Linked DNA regions of Saccharomyces cerevisiae S288C. Changing the gene in region 3 together with the main gene of any one other region gives a genetic interaction. Each region holds a gene or a part of one and is shown on either strand. Other genes may lie near its edges.

Region 1 (5,979 bases), on a different chromosome or scaffold from region 3:
GAATAATATCTATAATGGCTTCCGATGATGACTCTATTGACGTTCAATTATACTTTGCTGATGTTGTAAAGAATATCACCACTAATGACACCAAAGTGAAAAGACTTATTCACCTGTATTTACTTAGATTTGCAGAAAATGACCCAAACCTGACCCTGTTATCTATTAATTCTCTTCAAAAATCATTGTCTGATTCGAATTCCGAACTGAGATGCTTTGCTTTGAGTGCCCTTTCTGACATGAAAATGTCATCATTAGCACCTATAATTTTGCATACTGTCAAGAAATTGGTTACAGATCCATCTGCAATGGTTCGTGGTGAAGTCGCCTTGGCCATTATCAAATTATATAGGGCTGGAAAGAATGACTATCATGAAGAATTGTTGGATATTCTGAAAGAATTAATGGCAGATACAGATCCTAAGGTGATATCCTGTGCTGTCCTAGCTTACAAAGAATGTTATGCGGATCACTTGGAGCTATTGCATGGACATTTTCGCAGATATTGTAGAATAATTAAGCAACTAGATTCGTGGTCACAATCATATTTAATTGAGCTGCTAATCAAGTACTGTAAGCAGTATTTACCAAAACCAACTGTGGTCGATAAATCATCAGAAGGTTCCCCAAGGAGTTGTCCTTTACCAGATAAATACAACGAGATTGAATACCCATCTTACGAGGTGGTAAATGACCCTGATTTAGATTTATTTCTACAGAGTTTGAATTGCTTAATTTATAGTTCCAACCCTACAGTGATTTTATCGTGTTGCAATGCGCTATATCAGTTAGCTTCACCATTGCAGATGAAAAATACTAAATTTATTGAAGCATTGGTTAGAACGGTAACCATGACAGAAAACCAAGGTAACAAAGAAATGCTTTTACAAGCAATTCACTTCTTATCGATCTTAGACCAGACACTATTTTTACCCTACACCAAGAAATTTTACGTTTTCCCCAAAGATCCTATTGTGGCATCAATTTGGAAGATCCAAATTTTGTCCACGTTAATAAATGAATCAAACGTTAAAGAAATATTCAAAGAATTGAAATATTATGTTGCCAGTGCTCATTTCCCAGAAAATGTTGTTATTATGGCGGTTAAGTCATTATCTCGATGTGGCCAATTGTCAACGAGTTGGGAATCACATGTAATGAAGTGGTTAATTGATCATATGGAATCCCACAACCTCTCTGCTTCTGTCCTAGATGCATACGTGAATGTTATCAGGATGCTGGTGCAAAAAAATCCTACAAAACATCTTCGCATAATCTTCAAGCTTGCAGATTTATTAACAGTTCAAACGAGTTTGGCTGATAATGCTCGTGCAGGTATTGTTTGGTTATTTGGTGAAATTGCCTCGATTGAATTTAAGATATGTCCGGACGTTTTGAGGAGGCTAATCCAGAATTTTTCAAATGAGGGTCCTGAGACAAGATGTCAGATCTTAGTGTTATCAGCAAAACTGTTGTCATATGACATTGATAATTTTAAGCAAGCGCAAGTTACTGGAAGCGAAGAAAATAACCAAAATCCCCCATACTATGATTTTAGTGGTTCAAGAATCTCTCAAATGTACAATGCGGTCCTTTACTTGGCAAAATATGATGACGAATTTGATATTAGGGATAGAGCCAGGATGATTTCATCCTTGTTTGATTCAGGGAAATATGAAATTGTGTCACTACTATTACAAGCACCTAAACCTACGGCAAGAAGTGACGATTTTATCGTTTCTGCAAGATTGGAAACACATACCCCAGAAATAAAAGAATTTTTTAGAATGCTTCCTTGGAATACTGAAATTACTGAGGTTGGCGAGACAGGTAACGATATTAGAGAAGGCGCAGAATTGAAAGACTATAACAAATACAAAAAAAGTTTTTCATCGCAGTCTTTTATTACCAACAACTCAGCAAGATCTTTCACATCTAGCTCCAACGCAAAATTGACTGGGATCAATGACGGCGATAGCAATAGCATCTCAGGTAAAGGTAACGTAAACACCTTCACATCTCAAAACGGGAAGAAATATCGTTTGCAAAGCCTGGACGAGTTTTTTTCCGACATTCCAGAAAGGAAGAGTAAACCAAGGAAAATTATAAAGGTGGTGGAAGAAAGCAGTGACGAGGATGAAGACGAATCGGAAGAGAGCAGTGACGATGATGAGTATAGTGACTCTTCTTTGGGAACGTCTTCTTCGGGAACGTCTTCTTCGCATCTGGAGCTTTAGAACTCGGAGATAATACTATATAAATATGTATATTTATAGATATAGATATAGGCATGTATATCTTCCCAGTAATATACGTGTTTGGGACGAAAACAAAAGAGAAGTTGGTAAACAAAGTTTCATGTGAATTTGCTTAGTACAAAAATACATACAAATATAAAAGAAAAGTTACAAATTGCAAACACACTCATAACGAGGGGCAAAAAAAGTGGAGGGTGAAGAAAGTCAAGCCTAATACATGTACTTAAACTCAGGGTTTTTGTCGCTTAACCTTTCGTCGTATGGAATAGGCTCTCCCAATTCATTACAGCGATCTATTATTGCTTTCTTTTTATCGTTTTCCCTCTTGTATAGGAAAATTTGCACAACCGTCATAAATATGGAGAAGACTTGAAAGGCCAGACTAATCGACAGCCCTTTGATATATCTTGGCTTGTCTTTGGCAACAAAAATTTGACCAGAGACCAACCCTGAACCAGACCCGAAAAATAGATTAATTCCTAAAGCGGTGGCTCTCTTGAAGTAATTACCAGTGTTACCACTTAACCATAAACAGTTACAGGCAGCATTAACGTAAATACCCATACAAAGAATGTAAACGCCAAAATATCTCACACCATGAACTTGAGAACCAAGGACGATAGCTATGCCTATCGAAGTCGTCAGACAAGCACCCAGGATGAATGGAGATCTCAACTTTATACGATCAGACCAAACGGCACAAATGAAGAACACAATTGCTGTAAGGAAATAGATGGGCACGGTCATTAATTGAGCTCTGACATTAGTGAACCCCATACTGGTAATGATGATCGGCAAGAAGACTGTTAGACCAAAAGTAGTCAAATCGATACCGAATAATGCCACAGCACTAGCCCAAGTCTTGACATCCTTAACTGCTTGCCACACTTGGAACCATTCAAATTTTTCGTCCGGGTCAAAAGTGTTCATAGTCTTGTATCTTTCGGAAATGTACTCTTTTTCCTCCTTATTGAAAAACCACGAATCCTCCAAATTTTTGCTCAACCCGAAGGCATAGAATGGTACGAACCCCAAAGAGATACAACCTTCGACAATGTAAATGTATTGCCAGTCCTTTAGAGAACCGCTGATTTTGGAACAACCATAAGCAATCAGCCCACCAAAAGATGAAGACAAACAGGCTGCACTGAAGACAAAAGCGAACCTCAGAGCATATTGTTCTCTTCTATAGCAGACTGAAAGGTACATGTTAATAGCGGGATAAATCATACCTTCAAAGGCACCCAGTAGTAGTCTGACAACGATCAATTGAGCATAATTCTTAACCCAAGCAGTTCCGAGCGAAATAGCACCGAAACAGGTCAAACAGATACTCATCATTAATGGCGGACCCATAATTTTCAGAAGGTTAGTACCTATGGGGTCGAAAAGAACATACGTCGCGAAAAAAACTGTGACACATGTGTTATATTGCGTTCCTACAAGGTGGATATCCTTGGATAGACCTGCAACTTCTGCGTTACCAATATTCGATTTATCCAGGTTAGAAAGGAAATATAGCATCCCCATAAGAGGAATCAAGTATATATCCATTTTGCGCAAGACACGCTTTTCCATTGGATGGGAAGGGGAGGGGATGCCGTCATCATCCGTGGTAGTAGCCATAATTTCCCGTTCGGTGGCAAGTTCCGACTTCTTGTCATGGCTGCGATTATGCAAGCTAGCGTCATGGCCTTCATCTTCCTGGAACGTGACTTCCGTAGGCTTTTCTTCTGATCCATCATTGGTGGGTGATATGAAAAGCACATCATCCACCAAATGCTTAGGTGACTCCATTGTAAATTTGTTGCTCATCTAGAGGTAATGACAATAGTTCAATGCTCGAAAGTGAAGAAATATTTCTTTTTTTTTTTATATAAGCCTTCTGCGCAGTCGTTTTTTTTTCAGTCGCTGTCTCACGGGGGAAAATAGTTTGAAAAAGGCGAAGAGGGGGAAAACTGTGATGTGAATACGACTTCTAAGACAGTAAATATGGACGTATGCTTATAGCTTGGAGAGTTAGTTAATATAGAGAAATATAAATAGTAGATAAGAAGTACATATGAAACAAAAAAAAAATGGCAATAAAATAACAAAAGGATCTCGAGTAGGAACATACTTCAAAGAAAGGAAAACTCATGGTTTATATATTATCCAGAATTTTTAACGTAATCGGAGATGCGACAGATATTTCAGGGTGTATGGATGAGGTCAAAACAATACTAATCACACACGCCGCGAAGCCTTCGACGGTTCGTAACCTGTCCTCATGTGTGACGCATAGGATTCTACGGTAGATCCCGAGTATGCCCGGCTGTGATTGGTAACTATGATTGCGAGTAATAAGCGATCCGGCGTCCGGTGGTATTTTCTATTTTGTTGGTGCGACCGCTTCTTCGCAGAGAATGGGTGACTTGTAAAAGGAGAGAGACACTGGAAAAACCAACAGAATACGAGCAGGAAACTAGAAAATAAAAAACTAAAAAAAAAAAAAAACAAAAAGGAAAGGAAAAATTAGTAGAAGCCGGCGACGATTGCAGAATCCAGAGGGATACCGCTGTAACAGAGAATACGGGCACCCAGACAAGTGACTGGCGCCAGACTTTGTTATTTCACCTGGACCCGAATAATAATATTAAATAGTGATAATAATAATAACATATAGCATAAATAATAATGTACAAAATAATAATAATAAATAAATAAATGGTTCACCATGGACTGTACAGGCGTTCCGGAACGCACATAGTGACAGTACAAGACCTGGTTGTGTGCCATAATGGCCGGCATGTGAAATCGCGGCTTCTGTATATGTACATATCTGTTCTTTTACCATGTCGTCCATTTTCCGTTCACTTTAGCCAACACGGCGACGTTGTGCGGAATTGATTTGAAGTCGATTTTTTCTATGGAGTATTCCCAAACTGCCCCCAAATTTTGCAAATTAGTGCGCGGGGTGAATGGGTGCGTCAGAGCATTTACTGACACCTGGCGGCATAAGCAGCGACGTATCGTGTCCAAGGCAGGCCATAGCAAGAGCGTTTGTGATTGATTTTCAAGGCGCAGATACCATTGGAACACAGTAGCGCAGAAGGTACTCCTCAAAAGAGACAGAGAGAGAAATCAGAGTCAGGGAGCTTAGTAGCTGCTGTTACCAATATTATACAATAAGTAAGGTTTGCATATGCGGAAACTTCGCACTTGAATTTTTTTTTTTTTCTTTTTTGGTAGCTTTTTGATGTTTCCAGAGGATGTGAGTCAATGAGTGGTGTGACCCCAATACCACATTTTGTTGCTGTTTTTTTTTTTTCATTGTTAATTATCACTATTTTTTTTTCTTTCTAGTATAACCCATTCGAACCTCCGTGGAGGCATTAAAAGGGAGAGTGAAAAAAAAAAAAAGAAAAGAAAAAGAAAAGATGCCGCCACATATAGAGACCTTAAAGGGATTGAAAAACTGTACGTAAATCATTGAAGGTTCTACACGTCATCCATGAAGAAAAGCATTTTCGGGAGAACGCCAAACTTCAGACATGGGTGTGCATTCATTTTGGGATATTGCAGGTCCTACGGCAAGACCGGTCAGGCTGGAATCCTTGGAAGATAAGAGAATGGCAGTAGATGCCTCCATTTGGATATATCAGTTTTTGAAAGCTGTCCGTGATCAGGAGGGGAATGCAGTGAAGAATTCTCATATTACTGGGTTCTTTAGAAGAATTTG
Region 2 (5,911 bases), on a different chromosome or scaffold from region 3:
CCAAGTAATGGTGGTATCGTTCAACGTGATTACAAACTATTGAAAGAATTAGCTAGTCAAGTCTAAAAAGCTTGAGTTATTATTTATTTTATGATCGTATATTATTTATTTATTTATTTATTTATTTATTTATTTATTTATTTATTTATTTATTTTATTTAGTTTATTAATTTTGCTGATGAATGTTATTTCAATTAAACATAGTTTTCAAAGAACTGAAAAACCCTGATTTCTTCTTCTTCTTCTTCTTCTTCTCTTTACCATTGTCATCTTTCAAATTAAACTTATCTTCATCATCATCGTTTAAGTTATGGTTGATAGTGTTCCTGCTTGACTTTGGAGAAATTATGTTTCCAGCGCCACCTCTTCCAATAGCAAATTTTTCCGGTGCGCTTTTGCCCTTGAGCTTATTTTTAGGCTTCTTGGACGTGGACTTGATTGCCGCCAAAGCATTGCCATTGGAAGTCACCACAAACAGGTTGTCCTCGTTTGCATTGATAGTATCCTCATCCTCGATATTGCCGCCTCGTATCTCATCCTCTTCATTTCCACCATTGCTGGCCACCTTTTTTTTGTTGAAGAAAATGTTTCCTGCCCCACCTCTACCAACGACAATTGGGGCGTTGTTGTTCGGAGACGAAGTGGTGGCATGCAAAGACTGATGGCTCCTTGTAGCGCTGATACGAGACCTGGTGTTGGTCACCGGGTTTGACCCACCTTCATCCACCATATCCGAAGTTATAGGGGAAATATAATCGTCGATGTCATTGATCACGTCGTTATAGTTGATATTGTCGTTAGAGTCCAGTTGTTGGGCGGATCTCGTCAGGTGCGGATCATGAAAGATATTACCGGCACCACCTCTACCAATTGCAAAACGAGGAACCTTTTCCTGGTTGCTACCGTTATTATTGTTGTTTGCTACTGTCTTTGAATTGGATTTCAATGGAAGAAGTACGGGAGACGGCTTGGACATAGATTTATGGATGTTGCCAGCTCCGCCTCTGCCAGTGGAGACCTTGTACTCTTGTACACGTGCCTGGTTCTCCATCTCGTTTTGTGGGTTGAACGTAGCCATACTAACTTGGTCTTACGCTACTGCTGCTGCTAACGCTGCTGCTGCTTTTGCTCATATGCTTCCATTGACCGTCATTAGTATCAGCGTCAGCCTTTTTGACATAAGCCACCGCTCTGTCAGGGTAACCCTATGAAACATTTCAAAACGTTATAAAGGAACTCGTCTGGTTACAACAAGGAAATATCACTACAAACAGCTGTCCGTACGGCTCCTCAACTCTCTCAATGTTGTTCGCCTGGTCACACACAGCATAGTTTCGTCATTCGGCGCCGACGGTCGCTGTCTCTTGGAGCCTTCAAGCTCTTGTCAACCCAGGTCCGTTGTGCCGATAAAAGTAACAGCAGACCCCCACGCCCGCATCCCACTCTCTTCTCCGACCACCTCCCTCGAAGTTCTTCCCTGCCAATCCCACGTCGATCCAGCGTAGTTGGCCCCAACTGGTGCAGTAATAACCGCTTAGCGATTTTGCACTCGGAACTACATATGTATATATATATGTGTGTGTGTGTGTGGGCTGGAAAGATTTCTTGAGCTTCCGTGTTATAGTGCAATTTAAATATTGTACATCATTCCGATCCAGCTGGAAACAAAAGCAAGAACAATGTTGTGGAAGCGTACTTGCACAAGGCTAATAAAGCCTATTGCACAACCTAGAGGAAGGCTGGTGAGAAGATCATGCTACAGATACGCCTCAACAGGCACAGGCAGCACCGACAGCAGCAGCCAGTGGTTAAAATACTCTGTCATCGCCTCTTCAGCTACTCTATTCGGTTATTTGTTCGCTAAGAACCTCTATTCTAGGGAGACTAAGGAAGATTTGATAGAGAAGCTGGAAATGGTCAAAAAGATCGACCCAGTAAATTCTACGTTAAAGCTGTCCTCATTGGACTCACCAGACTATTTGCACGACCCGGTTAAGATCGATAAGGTTGTTGAGGACCTGAAGCAGGTGCTGGGAAACAAGCCTGAAAACTACTCTGATGCGAAATCCGATTTGGACGCCCATTCAGATACCTACTTCAACACGCATCACCCCTCTCCCGAGCAAAGACCTAGGATTATATTATTCCCTCATACTACCGAAGAAGTTTCCAAAATTTTGAAAATATGTCACGATAACAACATGCCAGTTGTACCCTTCTCGGGCGGAACGTCCTTGGAGGGGCACTTCCTGCCTACAAGAATTGGAGATACCATAACCGTAGACCTGTCCAAGTTTATGAATAACGTCGTAAAATTTGACAAGCTGGACCTGGACATCACCGTGCAGGCCGGTCTACCCTGGGAGGATTTGAATGACTATTTGAGCGACCACGGTTTGATGTTTGGCTGTGACCCTGGTCCAGGTGCACAGATTGGTGGTTGCATTGCTAATTCTTGTTCAGGAACCAACGCCTACCGTTACGGTACCATGAAGGAGAATATTATAAACATGACTATAGTGTTGCCGGACGGGACCATTGTCAAGACGAAGAAAAGACCCAGAAAGTCGAGCGCTGGCTATAACTTAAATGGTTTATTTGTGGGAAGTGAAGGTACCTTAGGTATTGTTACTGAAGCTACTGTCAAGTGTCATGTCAAGCCCAAAGCTGAAACTGTTGCGGTGGTATCCTTTGATACTATCAAGGATGCGGCCGCATGTGCTTCTAATCTGACTCAGAGTGGTATTCATTTGAACGCCATGGAGTTACTGGATGAAAATATGATGAAGTTGATCAACGCATCTGAATCCACGGACAGATGTGATTGGGTAGAGAAACCAACTATGTTTTTCAAGATTGGTGGGAGATCTCCCAACATTGTCAATGCTCTTGTGGATGAAGTTAAGGCTGTCGCCCAGTTAAATCACTGCAACAGTTTTCAGTTTGCTAAAGATGATGACGAAAAATTGGAATTATGGGAAGCTAGAAAGGTCGCGCTATGGTCTGTGCTAGACGCTGATAAGAGCAAAGACAAATCAGCTAAAATTTGGACAACTGATGTAGCTGTTCCTGTGTCGCAGTTCGACAAGGTTATTCACGAAACTAAAAAGGACATGCAAGCTAGTAAGCTGATCAACGCCATTGTTGGTCATGCAGGTGATGGTAACTTCCATGCATTCATCGTCTACAGAACCCCTGAAGAACACGAAACCTGTAGCCAACTTGTTGACAGAATGGTCAAGAGAGCACTGAACGCAGAAGGCACTTGCACGGGTGAACACGGTGTTGGTATTGGTAAAAGAGAGTACTTGCTCGAAGAATTAGGTGAAGCACCCGTCGATTTGATGAGAAAGATTAAGCTAGCTATTGACCCAAAGAGAATCATGAACCCGGACAAAATCTTTAAAACTGATCCAAACGAGCCCGCTAATGATTACAGGTGAGTATCTGATTTTCCTTTTTCACCCTTCACGTAAACCTGAAATATATTTCATGTAATATATATAGTTCATCCTTAAAGAAAACATACCATTTCAAAATGCCCTTTCCCAGTAGCTAATACATGCTTAAAAATGTGATATATATTATTACCATCAAATGTATTCATGATCCGGGTAGTGCCTTTTTTTCCTTCAAACACTAATGGGATGGGAAGAAACATTTCGAAAAAAGTTATGACTATTGGCAGCATCAGAGAGAATTAAACCTTACCTGTACAACGATAGCAGCTTACATCACTTCCTCGCAGTCATGGAAAAAAATACGGCACCATTTGTCGTCGATACGGCACCCACAACTCCTCCAGATAAACTTGTAGCACCTTCTATAGAGGAAGTAAATAGTAATCCCAACGAATTAAGAGCTCTTAGAGGGCAGGGTAGATATTTTGGCGTAAGCGATGATGACAAGGATGCCATTAAAGAGGCAGCACCTAAATGTAATAATTGCTCTCAAAGAGGTCATTTGAAGAAGGATTGTCCCCATATAATATGTTCGTACTGTGGGGCGACGGATGATCATTATTCTCGACATTGTCCGAAGGCTATCCAGTGTTCAAAGTGTGATGAGGTGGGTCATTACAGGTCACAATGTCCACATAAATGGAAAAAAGTTCAGTGCACTCTTTGTAAGAGTAAGAAACACTCAAAAGAAAGATGTCCTAGTATATGGAGAGCATATATTTTAGTAGATGATAATGAAAAGGCTAAGCCCAAGGTCCTTCCCTTTCATACTATATACTGTTATAACTGCGGTGGAAAGGGGCACTTTGGTGATGATTGCAAGGAAAAACGATCATCTAGAGTACCTAACGAGGATGGAAGTGCGTTCACTGGTTCTAATTTGTCAGTTGAGCTAAAACAGGAATATTACCGTCACATGAACAGAAATTCGGACGAAAATGAAGACTATCAATTTAGTGAGTCCATATACGATGAGGATCCACTACCGAGACCTTCCCATAAAAGACATTCCCAAAACGATCACTCTCATAGTGGCAGAAATAAACGTAGAGCATCGAACTTCCATCCTCCTCCTTATCAAAAGTCTAATGTCATTCAACCAACTATAAGGGGCGAGACGCTGTCACTCAATAATAATATTAGTAAAAATTCACGGTATCAAAATACAAAAGTAAACGTCTCGTCGATATCGGAGAATATGTATGGCTCCAGATATAACCCTTCTACTTATGTTGATAATAACAGCATTTCCAACTCTTCCAATTACAGAAACTACAATTCTTATCAACCATATAGGAGTGGTACCTTGGGGAAAAGAAGATAACTTTAAATAGGAAGCCCTTTAACAAGCTGTTCTTGGTTACATTATATTTTCTTAATGAAAGATTAAAGACAATACCTAATTCGACCATTAATCAAAATAGCATGTAAATTTCTTACATCTTCTTGTTGTGAAAAAAAAAGGCCTTCGTGCAATCACAGGTAATAATAATAACATATACATACATATACGTAAATACGTCTTATAACTCCTGCTACCTCATACGCTATTTTCTATTATGGCTAACATCTATGCAACTCAATTTAGTCTCTTTTTACCTTTTTCACAATGAATGTATAAAGGTCCTTTTCATCGTAATCTAACCTTCTTTTTTGTGCATTTAAACCGTCATAATCGATTAGAGCAAGTTTGTCGACAAACCGATCTTTTCTATTTAGCTTTAGTGAATCGCACAGTTTTATTCTTCCTAACCTGCAGTTTTTGAAAAATTCGCCTTTAAGAACAGTTATCTCTCCTGCCATTGATGTTACCACCAAGTGAAACGTAAGGGCGCAAACATTGTCTGTGCCTACGTCTATATCATTAATTATAACAATTGTATCATTAATCAATCCGAAATCATGGGGTATTATCCGAATAGTATCCTTGGAATTCCTTAACAAATTTTTGGTATTTTTTATTTCAAATCTATTTATCAACAAAACTCCATGTGTGTCCAATATAAAGCATAAAGAATCATCCAGCATAAATAATTTCTTGAATGAACATAAATTTCCCAATGCCTGCTTGAATTGAGCTGTCTCATCATCTATCACTTGGCCATCCACCTTCATTTGACTTTCTGCCCACTCTTCTTCATTAGTTCCATTTTCAGAGCCATTTTTGTTCGATAATGAATCGATTTTAATTATTGGTTCATCATAGTACCGAGGTCGGAATGCACTCAACGTGACGAAATGATCGATGCACACAATGTCCATCTTTTTGTAATTATCTGTTAGAAAAGAAGTCATTGTTTCATCACTTTCATCTGTAGTGTTATCATCTTCATTCACCCCATCATTTCCATTTCTATGAGAAATCTTTTCAACAATTTCAAAATCTACCATAAATGTATTCCTTCTTAATCCTCGGATAAAAGAATCTAATTCCCACTTCGTTGAACAGG
Region 3 (7,777 bases):
ACCCGCCGTGCACCACAGCATCGCTGCGGTTCCGTCTGCGTGAGTCGTTCTGCGCGAATCACTTCCCGCAGCTGACATCACAGGGGCGGCCTTTCCTGGCTACGATTTTTTAGCGGGAAAGGCACACCCTTTCTTCTCCTTTCGGGTATAAAGTTTCTTCTGTGTGGATTCTGTGGGCCAGCTTCGGTTTTGAAGTTGGAAAAAAATTCTTCATCTTTGTTTTTTTATCGTGGAAAAGGAAGAAAATACTTGATAACCAACAGCAAAGCCGCATGGCTTGGCACTCGATCTTGATGTTGTCCCGTGCCTGGTTGTATAATATTATTATTAATGGCCATTTCGTAATCAAATTTCGGTTTGTTGTTTTTTTCTATTTCTTTTTCATCTTATATATATTAATTCGTTTGCCTTTTCCGTTTCTTTTTGTTTTAGTAATCATAAGTTTACGGCTTAGCAGCAAGGGCAAAGGGACAAAATGAATAGTACTAATAGTACTAATAGTACTACAACAGCTACCAGTACAAACACGTCAACTCAACAAGTCGTTACTTCTTTGGTAAGTAATGGTACTATTTTTGGTGTTTTTGTCATAGCGTTCTTGATTTTGCGTATAAAACTAAAAAGGATTTATGAGCCCAAATCCTCATTCAATCTGATTAATGAAGAAAAAAAGCCAGAACCGCTACCGCAGGGCGTCTGGCAATGGCTGAAGCCGTTATTGAAAAAATCAGACAATTTTGTCATTCAACAAGCCGGTCTGGATGGATATTTCTTTTTGAGGTACCTTTTCATCATTGCAATTTACTGTGCTGTTTCCATGAGTTATATATTCCCTATTTTGTTGTCCATTAACGCCAGTAACGGTAACCATGAAAGCGGATTGAATCAATTGGCCTATCAGAACGTCAAGCACCGTGGTAGATATTTTGCACATGTTTTCTGTGGATGGATTTTCTTTTGGGGGTTCCTTTACATTATTTACAGAGAATTGTATTTTTACACCTCTATGAAGCAAGCTGTACTAGCGTCCCCTCGTTATGCTAAAAAACTATCCTCGAGAACCGTGTTATTCCAGACTGTCCCTAAGCAATACTTAAGTGAAGAAGAGTTTTCTAAGTTGTTTGATGGTGTGAAAAGAGTCTGGATCGCAAGAGGTTCCGGTTCAATTGAAGCAATGGTCAAAGCAAGGGACAATATGGCCATACAATTGGAAGGTGCTGAAACAAAATACCTGAAAGCAGCATTGAAAAAAATTAAGAAGTTAAACAAAAAAAGTCCGCAATTATCTGTCTCTGATAATATTGCTGAATATGTCCCTGACAAGAAAAGACCACATCATAAAATTAACAAGGTTGCTAAATTCTTTTTTGGTAAAAAAGTTGACACCATATCCTACATTAAGGAGGAGTTGCCCAAGTTAAACCAAAAGGTGAAGGCATTACAAGAAGATCATGAAAATTCATCCCCTTTCAACTCCGTTTTTGTGGAGTTTGAATCCCAATATCAGGCCCAAGTTGCCGCTCAGATCACCACATACCATGCTCCTCTTTTCATGACGCCTGTGTATATTGGTATTGAGCCATCCGATGTCGTTTGGTTTAATTTGAGGATGTTCTGGTGGGAAAGATTAGGTAGGGAAGTCAGTGCGGTTTCAGCAATTGTCGCGCTAGTAATATTATGGGCTTTCCCAGTGGCTTTTGTTGGTATGATCTCTAATATTACTTCCTTGACTAATGAAGTTAAATGGTTAAAGTTCATCTATAAATTACCAAAACAACTATTAGGTTTACTGACATCTCTGGCCCCAACTGTGGCATTGGCCGTTTTAATGAGTTTCTTGCCGAAATTTATTAGGGGTATGGCTATCACTCAAGGTGCTCCATCTAAGCAAAATGTGGAATATTTCACTCAACAAGCTTATTTCGCCTTTCAAGTTATCCAAGTCTTTTTAGTTACCACTCTATCCTCCGCCGCCACTTCCACAGTAACGGAAATTGTTAAAGAGCCCACGAAGGCTATGGATCTACTGGCTTCTAATCTGCCAAAAGCTTCTAATTTTTTCATGTCATACGTTATTCTACAAGGTCTGTCCATTTCATCAGGTGCTCTTTTGCAAATTGTTCCACTAATACTCTTTTATGTTTTAGGTGCCTTTTTAGATGGTACCGTTAGGAAGAAATGGAATCGTTTTTGTGGGCTATCCAGTATGCAGTGGGGGACAGCTTTTCCAGTTTATACAAACTTGGCAGTTATTACTTTCTCCTACTCCATCATTTCTCCGTTGATTTTATTATTTGCTGCCGTCGCGTTTTTCCTATTGTATATTGCATATTTATACAATTTGACTTATGTCTATCAGGAATCACCCGACGCAAGGGGTATTTATTATCCAAGAGCTCTTTTCCAAACTATAGTTGGTATCTACATCGGTCAGATATGTCTATTAGGTCTTTTTGCCGTTGGTAAAGGTTGGGGCCCAATCGTTTTACAGGTAATTGGAATTTGTGTTACCGTCCTTATTCATTTACATTTGAGCGCTGCATTTGATCATTTATCAAAGGTTATACCCGTTGATACCATGAAACCGTTAGATGGTGTATCAGATACACCTTCTTTCAAAAATATTTATAAAGGCATAGAAAGTACAAAGGTGAAGAAAAATACTTTTGGTGCAAATATTGACATGGACGGAATCAAAGAATTACCTGAATTTCCAATAAAGAAATATCACAAGAGGAGTGAATCAGTCACTGAGCAACAAGTTGAAAATAGCATATTTAGTGAAAATACATTCGAATATCAATTCAACCCAGCAAATGAAGCCAATGCAGATGGGCACGCTATAAATGCAGAAAATTTAATTGAGGACGTGCCATTATTAGCAGATGGTGATACAATGAAAATTCCTCCGGCTCCATGGTGGAAGAGATTCTTAAAACCTCACATTTACTACTCCTATAAGGCTGTAAAGAGCAGACTGCCAGAAATATATGGTTTGGTTGATCCTGATGAAAGAGTCAATGATTTCGATATCTCTCATGCTTACGATTATCCAGCTGTTAGTGCACAATGCCCCGAATTGTGGATTCCTCGCGATCCTTTTGGATTTTCCAAATTGTTGATTTCAGACGTTTCTGGCGTTGTTGAAATGAACGATGAAAATGCTACCATCGATGAGAATTTGAAATTTACTCTGCGTGACGTACCACCACCATATAATGATGTTAAAGACGAAGCAAATGGTGAAGCAAATGGCGAATTTGACACAGCTAGTAAGGAAAATAATCCATTTGCGGACCCAAAGTATAAGGAAGAAGAGAGTCGTTCGGCAGTCTAAAGGTTAAACATTATCAGAAATTATCTATTCCTATTTGTTTAGCTGTTATCCTCTGATGGTTGAATTGTAATTTTACTAAGAAAAGGAGAGGAAAAGGACGTGCATATATTCTTTTAATACATTTAAAATATGATTCTAATCATTTCTTATATAATAGTGTATAGTCTAATCATTCATCGTGTATAGTAACCCTTTTTGTTTTTTTTTATGCAAAGTTTTTTTGTTTTTGGCAATCTATGAGGTTTGAATATTGGATAAAAGGAACTCCGCACAGTAATACGGAGCAGTCAGCTAATTTAACCAGCACTAATAGGGAGTACATTCAATTGGAAACTTTGATTCGCTTGTATGCGTGAAAAGCAAATTCCCTTCTAGAGAAGTTACTGAAAAACATGAATTTATTACGAATGAATGCTTTAACAAGCAAGGCTAGGTCAATAGAACGGTTAAAACAAACATTGAATATTTTATCCATTCGTAATCATAGACAATTCAGCACCATTCAACAAGGCAGCAAATATACCCTCGGGTTTAAGAAATACTTGACATTATTAAATGGAGAGGTTGGTTCTTTTTTCCATGATGTCCCTTTAGATTTGAATGAACATGAAAAGACCGTAAATATGATTGTTGAAGTACCAAGATGGACAACTGGAAAATTTGAAATATCCAAAGAACTTAGGTTCAATCCGATCGTTCAAGATACGAAGAATGGCAAGCTTAGGTTCGTGAACAATATCTTTCCCTATCACGGCTATATACACAACTATGGTGCTATTCCCCAAACATGGGAAGATCCCACAATTGAACATAAACTGGGGAAGTGTGACGTGGCTTTGAAAGGTGACAATGATCCTCTTGATTGTTGCGAAATCGGTTCGGATGTTTTGGAAATGGGTTCCATTAAAAAGGTCAAGGTATTAGGATCACTCGCTTTAATTGATGATGGAGAATTGGATTGGAAGGTCATAGTGATCGACGTAAATGATCCTTTATCCTCTAAAATAGATGACTTGGAAAAAATTGAGGAGTACTTTCCTGGGATTCTAGATACGACTAGGGAGTGGTTTAGAAAGTATAAAGTTCCAGCAGGGAAGCCATTAAATAGTTTCGCCTTTCATGAACAGTATCAAAATTCCAATAAAACCATCCAAACTATAAAGAAATGTCACAATTCGTGGAAAAACCTCATTTCAGGATCACTCCAGGAGAAGTATGACAACCTGCCTAATACAGAAAGGGCTGGTAATGGTGTCACACTTGAAGATAGTGTTAAACCCCCTTCTCAAATACCGCCTGAGGTGCAAAAATGGTATTACGTTTAATATGAAAATAATACCTTCGAAGAAAATGTTTAGATAAAGGTTCCTTGTATATAATTACGTAATCTCTGCTCTCTCGAATGTTGGCTGCTTGATGTATGTGAACGTTTGGAAAGAAACTTGGGTTTATATTCACTGCTAAAATGACATCCTATTAGAAGTTCGTCTTTCTCCGGTTCGGTTAGTCTACTCACCTAGAAACATCTTGCGAAAATCGTCGTTGGACATCTGCTCTTGTTTGTCAGGAATTTTTTTCTTTACTTGAAGATTTGGTCCTTTTTCCATCATGTTTATACAACTAGGTTTGACGTGTTTCATGCTGTGATTCTGTTGATTGTTATAATATCTTTTCATGTCATTAATAGTACCTGAACGTATCACCTTTCCCTGAAATTGAGATCCATTTAGTATCATTAGCATTTTTGCTGCAAACTTACTATCTCTAAATATAATAATGGCGCCATTGAAGTCGCTAACGAGAAGTATTTTCCTAATATCTTTTTCATTGATGTGTATTTCTTCCTGAAGAAATTGGCAGATTAAGCTTGGTGACACCTTATCTGAAAGTGGAAATAAGCATATTAGTGTTTCTAGTTCTTTGCTGTTACGCGATGCGAGAAGTCTTTTGACTTCGTTTCTTTCTAAGAATGGTTTTTTATCAGCCAAGGAAACGGAAATTTCCCTATTACCTAACAAACTTCTATTCATTTGAAGTGCCCTTTCAGCAGAATCTTTATTTTCAAAAACCATAAATGCACAACAGTTATTGAAACTGTGCTCTTTCTGTCCAGCAGGTATGTTGATTTTTTCAATGGAACCAAATCCCTCAAAAGATTCCCTCAGAAGGTTTTCGTCGAGCAATTCTGTACTTAGGTTTCGTATCATAATCTCTCGCCCCTCTAGTGTGGCAGAATCGGTCCGTTTCGACTTTTCCAGCGGATTGGAAACTTTAGTAACTAAAGTATAACCTTCTATTTTGAGTCCATTCAATTTTTCTACACAATATCTTGCATCCTCTTTAGAAGTAACATCGATGTAAGCGAACCTTCTGCTTGTATTGAATCGTAAACTGGGAAGCCGTATACTGAGTGCAACAACGTTAATATCTTGCAATAGATCTCTAATATTTCTTTGAGTATAACTTGGGGGGAAATTCGTCATCCATAATGTGCATTCTGTTAAATGAGATACTATAATTTCATTCTGACCTACAACTTTGTGTGTTTTGGTTATTGCAGCGAGGGCTCCATCATACCTGGCAAATTCAATACGTGCAAAACGAAAGTTCTTCTTCAGCGAATCCGCAACATCAACGTGTATAATGGGCCCACAATGTTTGAAGTACTTATAGACTTTGTTTTGATTATAGCTCTTAGGCAAATTTTTGACTAATACAGTTGTTAATTCTCTATTTCTTGTTAAAGCTTCGTTCGCCTTCTTAGAAGTTAATCCTGCGGCTGCTGGTGATCCTTCATCCAATGGTCGTTTTGAATCTGGTCTAGCGTGATGTCCATACTCCATTATCACAGATTATGAAGTGAATATGTGGGCTTGTTTATCGCTAATGATTCTCATATAATAAATATAAAGGGTTTTCAATGTTGTAGTAAATCTGCCATTTTGAATAAGTTCCCGCCTGAAAATTTTTTAGCGATGACTTTAAAAAAGACATTGATGCACTCTACAATTCATTGTCATGATGTACATAGAAAATTGAATGATACAAGCGGAAATATTATCAGAATAAATCGGACATGGATAGCAAAGAATATCTGATATCATATGGTTGGAAAGAAGGAGAAGCGTTTAGAGAAGGTGGTTTGAAAAGACCCATACTGGTAAAGCACAAGAGAGATAAGAAGGGATTGGGTAATGCTCCTGGCGGGAATGATGGCGAAGCATGGTGGGAAAGGCTATTTGATGGACATCTGAAGAACCTGGATGTAAGCACTGATTCGAATAATGGCAGTATTAAATTTACTCAAAATGAGGCAGTTGCTACTGCTGTATCGAAAAGTAGCTCACCTCTATACAGGTGGTTTGTAAAGGGAGAAGGGCTGAAAGGAACCATTACTAATCTTGGTAAAAAGGAGGAAGCCAGCTTTGTTGTATCTAGTGCAAGTTCGAGTAAAGGGAAGAAGAGAAGAAGGCGTGATGAAGATGATAACAAGGTCAAGAGAAAAAAATTGAAAAAAGATAAAAAGACTAGTAACGACAGTGAGAGTAAGAAGAAGAAGAAGAAGAAAAGCAAGAAGGAGAGTAAAAAAGGAAAGAAAAGTAAGCATAGCAGCGATGAAGGTGATAAATCGAAGCATAAAAAATCCAAAAAGTCAAAAAAACATAAAAAGGAAGAAAGTTCAGCAAGAAGAGATAGAAAGGAGCATATATGATTATCATAGTCTAATATGTAAATATGTATCCGTAAAAGACATTCTTAAAAGTTTGAATTTATGATCTTTTTATTTTTGTATTTAGTCTTTGTTTTCGAACTTTTATTAATATTAAATTTCAGTAAGTAAATTAAAAGAACATCTTTAAAAGAGTATATTTATTGTTACATATGTTGATCTTAAAAGGAGATGAATATTTCTTAATGGAAAAAGGTAAAAAAAAGATTTTCTCATTCATATGTTCCCATTAGGCAGTTCTATGAGGCAGTCGTCCAACTCGTAATCAGAGATCTCATTCTCATCCTCTAAGTAGCCCTTTACCTGAAAAAATGTTCTTTTGTTTAGAGCATCTTCCGTCTCTTCACGATTTAAGCGTTGTAGCTTGGATTTGTCCTTTGATGTCAACCGTTTATCCTTCAATAACTTTTCCACAGGTATGAAATCTTCTCTTGTTTTACTTAATAGCTCCTTTAAGTATGAACTGGTCTTTTTTGGCTGGTGATACTTTTTTAGAATTTGTTTGGGCAGTCTGAATTTTCTCTTTTTATACTTTTCTGGGATATCGTTATATAGCTCTAATGATTTCATGTAGATATCCGTCATATCCTCGTTCATTTCACAACCTCTTGAAACCAAGTCATGATATGTGTATTTAATTCGTCGATTGGCCTGCATGGGCTCGTCGTCTATCTGATTCGCCCTTATATTATTAGAATGCTTATCTTGCC

The links. Genes that interact genetically often act in the same process or in processes that back each other up.
Region 1: mutations in PPA2 (region 3) and TNA1 together harm fitness more than expected from each alone (negative genetic interaction), as found in Saccharomyces cerevisiae (2 studies listed by BioGRID).
Region 2: mutations in PPA2 (region 3) and DLD1 together harm fitness more than expected from each alone (negative genetic interaction), as found in Saccharomyces cerevisiae (2 studies listed by BioGRID).

What each region holds. Positions count from the first base shown.
Region 1 is NC_001139.9:1,010,579-1,016,557, reverse strand, and holds TNA1 (Tna1p), read right to left. Parts: upstream 4,074-5,979; coding exon 2,469-4,073; downstream 1-2,468. Other genes in the region: APL6 (AP-3 complex subunit beta), read left to right, coding at 1-2,237; ssDNA endodeoxyribonuclease RAD2, read left to right, coding at 5,792-5,979. UniProt on the Saccharomyces cerevisiae protein: Involved in the uptake of nicotinic acid.
Region 2 is NC_001136.10:143,358-149,268, reverse strand, and holds DLD1 (D-lactate dehydrogenase), read left to right. Parts: upstream 1-1,679; coding exon 1,680-3,443; downstream 3,444-5,911. Other genes in the region: GLT1 (glutamate synthase (NADH)), read left to right, coding at 1-66; PAR32 (Par32p), read right to left, coding at 191-1,078; AIR2 (TRAMP complex RNA-binding subunit), read left to right, coding at 3,751-4,785; GID12 (Gid12p), read right to left, coding at 5,046-5,911. UniProt on the Saccharomyces cerevisiae protein: Catalyzes the stereospecific oxidation of D-lactate to pyruvate.
Region 3 is NC_001145.3:798,043-805,819, forward strand, and holds PPA2 (inorganic diphosphatase PPA2), read left to right. Parts: upstream 1-3,729; coding exon 3,730-4,662; downstream 4,663-7,777. Other genes in the region: RSN1 (Rsn1p), read left to right, coding at 476-3,337; U6 snRNP complex subunit PRP24, read right to left, coding at 4,846-6,180; TMA23 (Tma23p), read left to right, coding at 6,414-7,049; RRN9 (Rrn9p), read right to left, coding at 7,284-7,777. UniProt on the Saccharomyces cerevisiae protein: Involved in energy production. Its activity is stimulated by uncouplers of ATP synthesis.